2 linked regions of the Notamacropus eugenii genome follow. The protein of the gene in region 2 binds, or shares a complex with, the protein of the main gene of each other region. Links are inferred from orthologs where the notes say so. Each region holds a gene or a part of one and is shown on either strand. Other genes may lie near its edges.

Evidence for each region. Proteins that work in one complex are often made in the same cells at the same time.
Region 1: MCM3 (region 2) and GINS2 share a complex: the UniProt entries of both Homo sapiens proteins name them as parts of the CMG helicase complex. The link is inferred for Notamacropus eugenii from reciprocal best matches to the Homo sapiens genes MCM3 and GINS2.

The regions. Positions count from the first base shown.
Region 1 is NC_092872.1:700,243,601-700,250,519, forward strand, and holds the start of GINS2 (DNA replication complex GINS protein PSF2), read right to left. Parts: upstream 3,013-6,919; 5' UTR 2,899-3,012; coding exon 2,809-2,898; intron 1,817-2,808; coding exon 1,702-1,816; intron 1-1,701. UniProt on the Homo sapiens protein: Required for correct functioning of the GINS complex, a complex that plays an essential role in the initiation of DNA replication, and progression of DNA replication forks.
Region 2 is NC_092873.1:118,548,562-118,556,304, reverse strand, and holds the start of MCM3 (DNA replication licensing factor MCM3), read left to right. Parts: upstream 1-4,741; 5' UTR 4,742-4,976; coding exon 4,977-5,054; intron 5,055-7,743. UniProt on the Homo sapiens protein: Acts as a component of the MCM2-7 complex (MCM complex) which is the replicative helicase essential for 'once per cell cycle' DNA replication initiation and elongation in eukaryotic cells.

The DNA.
Region 1 (6,919 bases), on a different chromosome or scaffold from region 2:
AGGAAAAGCAGAAAACAATAGCAATTCCAAAATTAGAGGCATCAGATAGACTACAGAGCGGATGGCCACTTCCCTGGGATGGGAAAAAATAATGATAAGAACTTTTTCCTCAGCAAAAAGTATTTATGTGTTATGGCTATGTCTTCCTTGAACAAGTCAATGAGACTTGGCCTAGATGGTGGTATATCAGCCAGGTCCAGTCTCTGCCAAAGCCTCCGATATACCAGGATTATCACATACTGAAATGATATAGTGAAATTACATTTTTATTCTAGTCAAACATGACTTTATGGCTCTTAAACCTAAGATGGACATAATCCATTTAAAAATTCCAAACTATCTCTGCACCTAATTCTTCAAGCACTGAATTCTTATTGAACTAGGCTATAAGAGAAACTTTTGCCCTTAGCCATCAGGGACACATGTAGGTGAAAGGAATCTCCAAATTCCTTTCCAAATCCCCCAAAGCCTCTTTTATAGGAAAAGACCATGAGTGAATTCCATCCTTATCCAGGAGAGCACTGGTATCATGGAGTATGGAACCAAAGTGACCTCTCAGAAGTTGTTTAATCCAACACCCTCATTTTAGATGAAGAAACAGAAGTTCGGAGTCTTGTCTTGGCTCCCACAGCTACTAAGGTCAGAGCCAGACTTAGAATGAAAATCTCCCAACTCCTAAACCAATGCCACACCATGTGACTCCACAGCCCTAACTGTGAATGGAATCTTCAAGGGCTGCAATATCTCAATGGTCCATTAGGTGCTTTTTAAAATAGGCCCCTTACAACATGGGAAACATGCCTTCCACTTCTGTGCTGAGAGGCACAGACACTTGGCATTCCTCTCGACTGGTTTGGGGCTTCTAGAGCTAGATGCCTCTCTAGGGAGGCAGGGAGGGAAGAAACATTCATAAAGCACCTACTAAGTGCTGGGCACTGTGTTATTGCACTTCACCAATATTATCTCATTTGATCCTTGCACCAACCCTTTGACGTAGGTGCTATTATTATCATTTCATAGAGAAGGAAACTGAGGCAGACAAGGGTGAAGTGACTTGCCCAGGATACTCAGTTGGTCCGTGGCTGAGGTCATATCCAGGCCCAGTACTCTAACAAAAGAAGACCCCTCTTATCCTGGTTCCACTTCTACTGGAAAACAAAACCTCCAAAGTTTAAAACTTAAATAACGTAACTAGAGCCATTTGGATCAAATGCTCAGTAAAGATAGCTCCGACCCTAAAGGCAGCCCTATAAAATGTTCTTCAGTGGGAGGCAACACAGTAGGTATGTGAAGTCAGGAGGTCCAGTTTTGGTCCCTCCATCCCTGTCATGTTTCCTGCTGGGGGCCTTGGGAAAATTCTTTCATCTCGCTGAACTTCAGTGTCTTCCTATAGTATGCATATACATATGCATATATATGTATATATAAGTATGTTTAAAGGCACAATACTACTTACACTATAAAATCAAGATAGAAACTGTAACTTCCTCAAGGACACAAAAATTAAATAAGAATGCAAGGTTTTGTTGTGCAAGTGGCAGTTCCCTAAGTGACAACAGCAACTTCAAGTGTTCAGTAGATAGGAAAGAGGTAAGCCCCTGCCCAACCAAGGGCAGAGAACCCACCACTCAAGACATAAAACAATCCACTGTCCCTAAATCCATCCTTAGCTTCCAACTAGACTTCAGGCCCCTTCCTTACCGACATCCATCCATTCAGGAGGAATCACGCGGCACTTCTGTCTCTGTTTTAGGTTCATTGCCAGCCAAAGAGGTACTTCCACAGGTAAACCAGGATTAAAAGGTCCCAGATCTCCCTGGCAGAGAGGGAAAACAAGTCACCGTAAGAAAACAAGAGACAGAAAACACTTAGGTGAACCTCAGCCAAACGAACCGCTTGGATTCTGTAGAGTAATGGTATTAAGGAAAAAAAAGATACAAAATGACTCAAAGATGGCACCCTGCCATTGGGAAGGCACTGACACTTGAGTGTCCAAATACAGCTACGGCTTAGGTTACTACAATAACTTACTGTTACTCTCAGGAAGTCTACCTCAAACCTACAATTTGGGTGGGGGGGGGGGGAGGAGAGAAAAGAAAAAGGGAGGGAGGGAGAGAGACAGAGAGAGGGAGACAGAGAGACAGAGAGACAGATACAGAGACAGGAAGACAGAGACAGAAAGGCAGAGAGAAACAGAGAGAGAGAGACAGAGAGGAAAGGGGGCGGGGGAGGAGAACGGGGAAGGGAGGGGGAGGGGGAGAGACAGAGAGAGGGAGACAGAGAGACAGAGACAGAGAGACAGAGAGACAGATACAGAGACAGGAAGACAGAGACAGAAAGGCAGAGAGAAACAGAGAGAGAGAGACAGAGAGGAAAGGGGGCGGGGGAGGAGAACGGGGAAGGGAGGGGGAGGGGGAGAGGCAGAGAAAGAGAGACAGAGAGACAGAGAGAGGGAGACAGAGAGACAGAGAGACACAGAGAGACAGAGAGGAAAGGGGGCGGGGGAGGAGAGCGGGGAAGGGAGGGGGAGAAGAAGAGGGAGGGGGAGGGGGAGGCAGGGGAGGGTGGGTGATATCTGTGGCCAGAGGAGGGCTCCAAAGACAAGAGGGAGGGATTCGGGGAGGACAAGCGCAAGTCCGGGGCGGGGTTCTAGGGGAGCCGACCCCCAACCTGAGGGCCTGGTCTGATACTCGGGAGAAGGGGACGGGGAGGGCCGCAAAGGCGAGAGAGGAGACTGAGGTGCTGGGGGGTCGCGAGGGGAGGAGGGAAACTGAGGCACGGGGGGAGGGGAGGCCGGCATCCGAGTACCCCGATGAGGTAGATCTTGTCCAGGCTGAAGTTGGGGATGATGGTGACCATTTCCTTCTCGGCCAGGAACTCCACCTCGGCCGGGTCCATGGGTAAGTCCCGGGGTCCTCCGGAGCACAAGCTGGGAGGGAAAGGCGGAGGCGGAGCCGCCAACTTCCCGCCACTCCGACCGCCCCTCCCCCTGGCGCGCGAGGAGCCTCGGGAGGACCTATCAGGAGAGATTACGCATCCCAGGGGCGGGGCGTCACACGTCACCTTCTCCGGGATTGGACGAGCGCGCGCCCCGCCCCCTTGGTCGGCGCCGGCGTTTCCGGGTTTTCTAGGCTGGGGCCGGGCGCTCCCTCCCTTGGGGGTCTCGAGTGCGGGGGAGGGGGGATTCCCTCAGACCTGCGGGGGGTCGGCCAGAGACCCCGGCTCGTTCCGGATCCGCAGAGACAGAGAGCTCCGCAGCGAGTGGGCTCCCCGAGGGCCCCCCAAATGTTACCGAAGCCCAAGTCAGGAGCGTTGGGCCTCTCTCTGCATTGGCCCCAACCCCGCCTGGAAAGCGAGTGTCTGGCTCAGCACGGATACCCGGAGGAGCCAGCAGTGACCTTCAGCGGTGACCTTCAGCGGTGACCTTCAGCAGTGACCTCTGGCACCCAGCCCGCAGCCCCTCACCGCGGGACTCCTCCTGCCGCCCCATTGCCTTTGGGCATGACGTTCTGGGGAGTCGGCCAGGCCTGGGTTCAAATCCAGCCTCATGACCCTGCCAGCTGTGTGAATCCTGCCTCCAAGCCTCGGTTCCCACCTCTGCTAAAGGAACACGCCGAGGAGGTTGAATTCAGTACAGTTACACCAGCAGTGCCAGGCGAATCAGGAGAGGGAGAGCAGAGGAGTGTCCGTCCCAAGCGTCCAGACGGACAGACAGATCGATATTTACTAGAGGTCGTTCATCCGTCATTTTCGAAGAGGCCCAGTGACCGCACCAAGTCATCGGCCTCAGAGTCCGAAGGTTCGGCGGTGGCCCGGGGGCAGAGGACGACCTTGGCATCTGATGTCCGACAGAGCTCTAAGCGGCCCTGCAGTGCCTGTTTCATCCACCTTACCAGCCGTTGGAACAGCGGCCACTCAGGCAGGGGGCACCTTTATGTGTCTGGAGTAGACCCTTCCCTACTCTGGGAGGTTTGAGGTCTGGCCGTTGTCCACAGCACATCTGCTGAGACTCCTTTACCCGGATGTGGCCCGGATGTGGCCCAGGTGTGGCCCATGCGCTTGCTCCAGCTTCTTGGAGCCCAAGGCCAGAGCTGGGTAATGGGGACCCCAGAGGTGCTCAACCTCCCTGAGCGCCCCATGCACACCAAATAGAGAGAGAGAGAGAACACCACATAGAGGGTTTACTGTTTGTCAGGCGCTGTTCTAAGTGTCAGGGCATGGAGATACAAACCTGATCTCTAGGGACTCATGCTCTCCTGGGGGAAGGCAGGGCATGAAGGCCTTATGGTGGGTGGCATTCTAAGGCAGAAAACCTCAGCTGTCAGAGCCACAAAGTGAGTCTGAATTTCTAGTGGGGTGAAGCTAGTTGCAGAGGAGAACCAGAATAGGAGGCAGGATGTGTAAAGGACAGAAGCAGGAGGGATTGTGTCCTATGGTTAGGAAATTGTAGGCCTCTGTGACTGATACCCAGAGGGCATCTTCTCCCTCCATGCTTCTTCACTTGGTGATCTCATCAGCTCCCAAGGATAATTATGACCATGACTTTGCTGAGTCTACCTGTCCTGCCCCAAACTCTCTTCTGACCTCCAGTCTCTCATCTCCAACTGCCTTTGAGACATCTCTAGCTGGATGTCCCATAGACATCTTAAATTCAACATGTCCAAAACAGAACTCATTATCTCTCCCCCTGAAACCCTCCCCTTCTCCTTTCCTGTTACTGTAAAGGATAACACCAACCTCCTCCTCCCTCAGTCTCACAACCTAGGAGTCATCCTGGACTCCAAACCCTCTCTCATATCCCCCCCTCCAATAATCTAAGCTGTTACCAGGGCCTGTTCATTTCATCTCTGCCACATCTCTTGACCTCACCACGTTTTCTCCTCTGACACTGCAAATCCTCATGCCTTGATTACTGCAGTAGACTGTTAGTGGGTCTTCCTGCCTTAAGTCTCTTCCCACTCCAGTCCATCCACCATTTAGCCGCTAAAGTGAAATCCTAAAGAGCAAGTCTAACCATGTCACCTCTCTACTCAATAAATTCCAGGGACTCCCTATTGCCTCCAGCATCAAATATAAAATTATTTGGTATTAAAAGTCCTTCATAACCTAATGCCTTCCTACTTTTCCAGCCTCCTTACACTTTATACACCACCCTCCTCCCCCTCCCCCCCAGGTAGTTTTTGATCAAGTGATGAAGGCCTCCTGGCTGTTCTGTAGTGAGACACTCCATCTCTTGACTGGGCATTTTTTCTGACTTTCCTCCATTCTTTCAATGGTCTCCCTCTTCTGCTCTTCCTACTGACTTAGTCTCAACTAAAATCCCACTTTTTCAATCCCTTAATTCCAGTGCCTTCCCTCTGTTAATCATTTCCTATTTACCCTGTACATAGCTTGCTTTGTGTATATTGGTTCGTCCTCCATTGGATTGTAAGCTTCTTGAGAGAAGGGCCTGTCTTTTGCCTTTTTTTGTATCCTTGGGGGCTGAACACAGTTCCTAGCACTTAGTAAGCACTTAATAAATGTTTACTGAAGTAATACGAGTTGAGACTGAAAATGGAAGGAGGTAGAAGCCAGACTTGAGGCAGCAGGGAGCAACTGAAGATAATATCTCTAAATTGTTATAGGGAATTCCTGGATAAGAAATTCTCTGCCAAAGCAGACATATATATTCTCTGTAATTTATCATTTTAGAGAGTTGCCTAACGCCCCAAGAGCAAAGGAGTGTTAGCTGAAATGATTGTTAAACTTTCACTGTGAGCATCTACACCTTTGAAATGGGCAGAGGCCATCGATCGGGGCCTGATTTATTGTTGTACTGGTGGTCTACACTTGAGAAAGAGAGACCAAATATTAATGATGCAGATTAAACTTCAAAGTGAATCTTAAACATTTACCAGCACACCCCTACCTGGCTAGTGAAATAATTGAGGTAAACTTAGCACAGAATCTGGTGCGTGGGAAGTGCTTCATGGTTATTGACTGATTTGTCCAGGGGGACAACCAGTACTTTCTGGCTCCAGGGCCGTCTCTGTGTCCCCAAAGCAGGCTGTCTTTCAATGTAAATAAAACTTCCATATATAATCAGCTAGTGGAGATTTAGGGACATTTAAGAAAAAGTCTCTGCCCTCAAGCAGTTCACAATCTAGCTAGAATCTAAATTAACAAATCAGAGAAAGAGGATGCAAGAGGTGCACCTAGGCCAGAAAAGGCATTATGTTTCTTTTGAAATTTTTTTGCATGTGTTTTTTTTTAAATTCTGAACTTGAGAAATAAAACAAGCATTTCTAGAACAAAGTGGAATAGAAAAAAAGAGGATTACACCAGAAGCTGCAGATCCATTATGCTATTCCTTTCAAATATACAATAGTTATCCTATAACTTTTTCCCCCTCCCCCCCAGAAGGATAGACGTGTGTGTGTGTGTGTGTGTGTGTGTGTGTGTGTGTAATCAGTTCCTTTTCTGGATGCAAACAGCATCTTCCTTCATAGGATCTTTGCAGTTACTTGGGGTATTTATTATAGTCATTATTTTACTTTCTTGAGAAAAGATCTCTCACCCTTCGCCCAAATTCAAATCCTATCTTCTCAATGATGCCGATAATTCTTTTAATATGGGGGAAAGTCTCTTATTCTACTAGGTAAATTTGGACTTAAAATCTCAAACCCTGAATGTTCCACTTCATCTCCAGACACTGGGCATTCTCCCTGGGTGTTGCCTATGCTTGCAATGATCTCCCTCCTCCACAATGACTCCTTGGCTTCCTTTAAATTCCTTTAACTAAAATCTCGCCTTCTACAAGTTTTTCCTAAACCCTCTAAATTCCAGTGCCTTTCCTCTGTTAATTATTTCCTATTTATCCTGTATAAATCTTACTTTGTATTTATTTGTTTGCATGTTGTCTGTCCCATTAAAATGTAAA
Region 2 (7,743 bases):
TTTTGCTTGAAGACTTTCAAAAGGGGGAACCCATGACCTGCTACATCAGCCCACTCCACTTTGGGATAGCTAATAATAATTTTACAGTTGAGGAAACTGAGGCAAACAGAAGTTAAGTGTTCAAAGTCATACAGCTAGTAGTAATGATAACATCTATATATTAGTATACTATATATACTAATATATTAGTGTCTTATATATAGTAATATATTAGTATATTATGTATACTAATATATAGTATGTATATTACTATATACAATATATTTATAGTATAGTAAAAAATATTTATATGGTACTTACTCTATGCCAGGCACTATGCTAAACACTTTACAATTATTATCTCTTTTGATTCTCACAACAACCATGGGAGGTAGGTGCTATTATTATTTCCATTTTGCAGATGAGAAAACTGAGGTAAACAGAGGTTAAGTGACTTACCCAAGATCACACAGCAAGTATTTGAGGCTGAATTTGAATTCAGGTATGACCCTGGGCCCAGCTCCATTTGAAACACAATGTTGTTTTTTTTTTTAAAGCCTGTTTTTTCACAGATATATTTCAAGAAACCATAAAAAAAAAAATAAATTGTGCCAGCTTAAAAAAAATAAAAATAGACATGGACTATGTAACTCTGGGCAAATCAGAGAACTATACTGATCTAGTCCTTATCTCTATACTTTCTCCTTCCTCTAGGCAACTTCCAAGATTGGAAGTTGTAAAGAAAGTACCTAAGATTATTCTCCTTATCTGGGAAACTAAATAAATAAACTACCTCCATGCTTTCTCTTTCCCTGGGAATGCTGAAAAACAAAGCGTTACATTATCACCAGTTTTCACAGTATCCAAGATCTTCTCTACCTGCTCAGTATTGTGAGCCTGAAGTTGGATTGGCCTTGAAATATACCAGGTGATGAGAGATCATAAATATGAATAAAAATGGAAATCGGGATACGTAGCAACATATTTTATTGTCCCTCCCTTTTCTTTGAACATAGTAATCAGATCAACAGTAAATAAAATTCATTTCTGCCAGCCTCAGTTTCCTCATCTGTAAAATAGGGATAATAACAGTGATGGGGTGGTGGGACCTAGATCCCAAAAAGCCCTACCACCATGTCTCTGAAAGCAACCCAGCCCCTCCTCTCCCATCCATGAGAAAATTCTCTTCTTATTACAGATACAGACAGAGTTCACCCTGTAATTCCTTAGATAAACAACAGATACAGGGGTGCCTGACCCAAGCACTCTCCCTCATGTCAGATCCCCAAGGTCCATGCCTCTAACAGCTCCCTCAATGTCTGGTATCAACAAAATTATCTCTGAAAAACTCCCTACATTTTCCATAGATTACTGACGCCTGCTCCCATGACACTTGGACCCTTTGCATTACATAATTATTCCTTTCCCATGCCCCTTTTCTATATAAGCTCTAGATTCACCCCCATTAGGTTGTAAATTCTTTAAAGGAACTCTGCCCACTTCTATTGGTATTACAATAAACTGCCTCAACCGAAGGATGGCTTGAGTGTGTGAATTCATTCCAGGCAACCCTGCCTAGGCATTTTTAGGGTCCTAGCACTCCAAATTTCATCAATAGGACCTAGGATTGTTGTGAAGTTAAAATAAGACAATATTTGTAAAACACTACAAACCTTAAAGTGATCTATAAATGCTGGTAGTAGCAGTAGTAACAGCAGCAGCAACAGCAGCATTGCCTCTGGAAAGAATGAACTAGTTAATTGCCCTAAAGATCAACTCAATATCCCTGAGACCACTTTCCTGACCAAAACATCCCTTGGCTACCATTCTCCTATGTGTATTGTTTCACCCTATCACAGGAATTCTAGACCTTTTTTGTATCATAGACACCTTTGACAGATTGGTGAAAATTTATTGACCTCTTCTCAGAATGTTTTTTAATATATTAAAATACACGGGATTATAAAGGAAACCAATTACACTGAAGAAAAGTTATAATTTTTCTCATCCAAATTTTCAGATCCCGTGAAATCCATTTATGGATCCTATAGGAATTGGTGGACCTCAAATTAAGAATACCTGCTGTGTTGGAATATAAACTCCTTGAGAAAAGAAGCTATTTCACTTTTTATATATTTGTATCACTAATGCTTAGCTCTGTTCCTGGTACATAGTAACCATTTACTGATCTTTTCATTCATTTATTCATATCTCATCTTGTATAAAACTGTAAACAGGATCTTGATTCATGAATTGGTTTTTGTTCTCCAGATTGCAAATGTAGAAATCAGACAGTAATCAGATATTAGGCTTTCAAACCATAGTCTTACAGCTAATCAATAAGACCTTAAATATGCAATCATACAGATAGGTTTTTAAATATTTCATAGAAATTAGCTCAAATGATCTTTACAACAACCCCATGAGGTACAATAGATATAATCTACTGTTCAAAGGCCATTTTGTAGAGTTTTATGCAAATAGCCTTTGAGCTACAGGTTACATAGCTCTCAATCCCTCTGAGATGAGGAAAGTGTACTTGGAATTAGTTTAGTTAGGAAGGAACAGATAGTGAGTAGCCGAGCAAGGACTTAATTCTAGTATCCTTCATGTTTGAACTTTGAAGGACAAAAGTATTTATTGTTATATAACTGTAGAAATTGAATTTTAATGAAAGGGTAAACTGAGGTAGATCTCAGAGCAAGGTCATGTTACCTGTCAATAAATGGGTCAGTGGATTGCCTCCATTAATGCCAAACACCTGGAGCAAGAGGACAGATCTTCTTAATACAAGGTTTTGGAAATTACAAAGAGGAGGGTAGATGACATCTTGGGATCATGATTGGTCAAAGAGTTGAGGCACAGGGAACAACATGATTGGTAGGAAATTTGGTAATGGGGGCTAGCATTGACCCCTCTTCTCCTCTCATGATACTAAGAGGTGTTTATTGTCTGAGTGCAGGTGTGGGATAGTGGCTCAGCAAACTAGACATCCTTGAAGGAAAGCTTGGTGGAGTAAGAGTGTCAAGCCCAAACTTCCTTGCATTCTCACACATTCACCAAGATCAGTTAAGTTCCTTGAGGCAGGAGAGCTGTATTTTTAAAGCTAATCTGTTACAGACCAGCTGAACGCTGAATTCAGTTCAGAGACAAAGAACCATGATTGAAGCACTTAGGGGACAAAATCAATTAATTGTAAATAGGATCAATAAGAAAATAAGACAGGATCAATCTTAATCTCCTCAACTTATAGGGATAAATAGCATGAAGCTTACAGAGCACATATTAATAATGTATCCAGGTATTTAAAACATCCGCTATCATCATCATCCTCATCACTAAAGTTTACGTAGTGCCTACTATGTTTCGGGCACTGCGCTTTAGAAACACGTTGTTGTTCAGTCATGTGGACTCTTTGTGACTCCCTTTGGAGTTTTCTTGGCAGAGATACTGGGGGTGGTTTGCCATTTCCTTCTCCAGCTTATTTGACAGATGGGGAAACTGAGGCAGGCAGAAGTTAAGTGATTTGTCCCAGGGTCACACAGATCGTATGTATCAGGTTCTACCTGACCCTATCCAAATGCGCCACCTGCCTGCCACTACTTAGAACTGGAAGGGACCTTGGAGACTTTGTCCAATCCCTTTATTTTAAAAATGAGGAAACAGAGGTTTAGAGAATTTGTGCTTTGCCTCAGGTTACATAGACTGAATTTGAACCCCCGTCTTCCTCATTCCAGCTCTAGCACTCTATCTCCGACACCACGGAGAGCAGCTGCGTGATGGATGTGAGAAGATATTTGCTTTTCATCGATTCTTATACTGAATCAGTCTTGTGATAGAGAGAGAGGAATTTCTGCCTTTCATTCGTATCGGCTGCAGAAATGTGGGAAGACCACTTTAACTCTCGGTGCCCAGGCTGAGTGCACATTACAGAAATGTTGCCCGATTATCCGTGAGGGCAGTTCTGCGGACCTGTGAAATCTCCCGAGTGTGTTGGTAAATGTTGAACTGTGTTTAACTGTGCGTGTGCGTGTGCGTGTGTGCGTGTGTGTGTGTGTGCGGGTGTGTAATGTGCTCATCATTTATTTATTATTATTAAATAAACAAATATTATTTATTTATTATTATTTTTAAATCTGCATTGTTTGACTGTACAAAACTGAAAACAAAATAATTTTTAAAAAATGCATCGTTAACATTCCTTCATCTCTGTCTTGAATTCTAGACAATCAATAAAACAGATCAAGTCCTTCATCTGGAGCATTTGCCGATTTCCAAGTTATTCAGCAGCCAGTTCTGCGGGTAAGGAGCTCGCTCCAGCACATCTCTGGCCGTGTCTACCTGATTAAAACAAAATTAATCAATGATCGTCACTTTTTTTATGTCCCTTGATACCCCCTCTCCAATGTAATATAACATCATTCCCAAACTGTTATAAAAGAAGGCGCAGAACAAGGGATTGACTTTCCCGGTCACAAAGTGAACACAAAGGCGCAGGTGAGACTGGACGACTCGACACAGATAATGTTTTTGTACGTTACCCAGAAGGGAAACAGCTTGAAAGCAAGGTAGCACCAACCACCCAGACTACTAGATTTCTATCATATGGACTACAATTCCCAGAAAGCAACGCGACGTATTTTCGTTGCAGTCCCAACCCTCGGGAGCTGAAAGTCACAAGCTCCGCCCATCGCGCCCTCTGGATTGGCCAGTTACGTTCTTCTTGACTTAAGGGCGCAGGGGAGGGGAGGGGCAAATAGACATCTGTAAGTTTCCCGCCATGAGGACGTATCGGAACGCCAAGGGGAGGAAGGAGCTGCCCATTGGGCACACGTTCTTCCGCCCGCGGAAGTTGCAGCCAATCAGAATCCAACCTGCTTCCGCAGCCGCCTAGGAAGTAACTTTGGGTGGCGGGAAAAGTGAAGTAACTTTCGCGCCTGGGGAGGAGTCAGCGCTGGGGGAGCGAAGAAGCGGAGTCCATTCTGCAGTCTGGAAGCATGGCTGCCACCACCGTGATAGACGATGTGGAGCTGCGGGAGGCGCAGAGAGATTACCTGGACTTCCTGGACGACGAGGTGAGGGCTCCGCGTGTGTGCGTGCGTGTTGGGGGAGGAGGGGGTCAGGGGAAGGCCGTGTGGCCGTTGGCTCCGGCGGAGGCGGGCGCTGGGCAGGGAAGAGGCCCGAGGAAGAGGAGGGTCCTTCTGTCTTCCTCTCGGCCGGCTTGGTTGGAGGGAGCGGGGTCCGGGCCGTAGGTGCGAGCCCAGGCGGGTGGGGGTGGGTGGGAGGGCTCGCCAGGAGCCCTTCACGCCCCCTGTCCCGGACCGTGTGACCCCCCAAAAGCTAGCGTGGGTTAGAGTGAAACCGTGGGCTTCTGTTGGATTCGGGGTGCCGGGATGCTCCAGGCTTTGTTCTCTCGGGGGTGGGGCCGGACAGGGGGTGGGGCTGGGTAGGGTCCACCTGGGAAAAGTTCTTGTCTGCGATCTTTGTTGTAGCCAAAACTAGTCTGGAGCTTCTGGCACCAGACACGTGCGTAGTGACTCGTGTCGAATGGAAATAGTTCTTGAAAAATTTCTCGTGGCATTTTTTTGTTTTTGGCATAGACAGCTGTGAACATCACCATCTAAAGAGAGGGAGCACAGACCTCCCAGACGCTGGTGTGCTTTTCCAGGCTGGTGTTTGTTTTGTTTTTGGCAGGGAGGCAGGGTGGAGGAGAAGATGCTTGTCCTGGGTGTTGTGTTTACTTAATCCAGATAAATAAGAAATCATGTTTATCTGTCAAGTGGATTAGCTTGTCCTGTCGAGATGGCTCCCCCACCTAGGCAGTGCTGGTTGACGAAGACTGTCTTCCTGTAAATAACGGGGTCTATCTGATTTCTCAGTAAGTTGGGAATCAGTACATGAAGATCCCTAAGGGGATAGCCTGGCCCTAATACTTAAACCAGGGGAGGATAAAGTAAAGAGAACTATACATCAGTATCGTTAATGAGTATTGGTTATAATTTTAAAAATTTTTAGCAAAAAAAGTGGTACTATATAAAAAAATTAGTCATTGTGAACAAGTTAGCATTCTACTATGGATGCAAGGATGATACAGAATTAGAAAAGCAATTAATAGTCGTTCATATTAAAAACAAAACCACTGTAAACTACAGGATTGTATGAATAGATGCAGGAAAAGCCTTTGAGGAAGTGTATCATTTATTTATGCTAAAAATTCTACGTCATAGACCTTGAAGGGTTATTTTTAATAATGAAATCATTTCTAAAATCATTTGCAATGGGAAAACACAGAAACTTTTCCTTATTCCATGTTAGGTCAGAAGATAAAGGATGATATTATCTAAATTAATTTGCAGACTTAATACTTTGCCAAATCAATTACCAAGGGGATACTTGACAGAGGTAGGCAAAATAATAATAAAAATCATTTGGAGGAATGAAAGATTCAGAATCTCAAAGGAAATAATGAAAAAAATAAGAGTGAAGGGTATTACTTCTAGACCTTTGGTTTTGCTGTGAAGCAGTAATCATTGAAACTATTTGGTATTGGTTAAAAAAATTAGAAAAGTAGATTGATAGAACAAATTGAAAAAAGAAGAATGAAAAACAATTGAACTTAATAACCCAGAAGAGATAAATTACTTGATAAAGAATTCCATATTTGAAAGAATTGTTGGGAAAACTGGAAAGCAGATTGGCAGAAATTAAATCTAGAGCACCATCTTAGACAATAATAAGGTAAAAATGAATGTGCAACTTGAATGAAAGGTAATACTCTAAAAGGCAAATGAAAGGTGATATAAAAATTTAGATGACAGGTTAAGTTCATTTCACTTCTGTGACTAGGATAAGAAGATCTTCCCCCCCCCCCCCACCAAACATGGAAGGAGTATACAGGTGATCATATAACATAAAATAGATAAAACCTTTTTCACAAAGAAAATCCATGTAACTTGGGTAAAAAGGAAAGTGTTGGATTGGGGGAAAAGCCTTTGCATTACCTATAGAGATCTCTAAGGGTCCTGGATATACAAAGAACCAATGCAAGTACGTCAGGCCAAGAATCATTTATCATTCGATATGATCAAAGAATATGAACAGTTCTTAGAAGATTTACAAGCTGTTAATGAACTTGTGAAAGATTATTTCAAGTCATTAATAACAAGAGAGATGAAAGTGAAAGCAACTCAAATTTCACTTCACCCAGGAAATTGGCAAAGATCACAGAAGATGCAAATAGTCCATGAAGCTGGGCACATTAATACCTTTTTTTATGGAACTATATATGGGTCAAACTGTTCAATAAAGTAATCTGGAATTCAAAGAAAGTGACTGAAATATTCCTACCCTTTGAGAACCTCCTGGGTACATACTCTGATGTCAGTGATAGAAAAGCACATATACCAAAAACATAGAAAGTAGATAATCATCAAGTAGGGATTGGCTAAACAAATTGTTGTATGATGAATGTAATAAAATGTGGACATGTAAGAAGTGTGATTTGAAGAATGAGAAGGTTAAGGTTCCAGAATGAGATAAAGCAGAACCAGGAAAACAACCTCTATATCTATTTATATATAGTGTAATGGTGTAAATGGGAAGAAAGATAATAAAATAAAAGTAAGAGATAATAAAAAAAGAAACTGAATGCTATATAACATAATGATTAAAGCTGGTCCTAGAGCAGAGATTTTTAAAAATTGCCTCCTTCATAGAGACTTCATCCAATTCCAATCATCTTAACCTTCCTCCACCTCTTGAAAA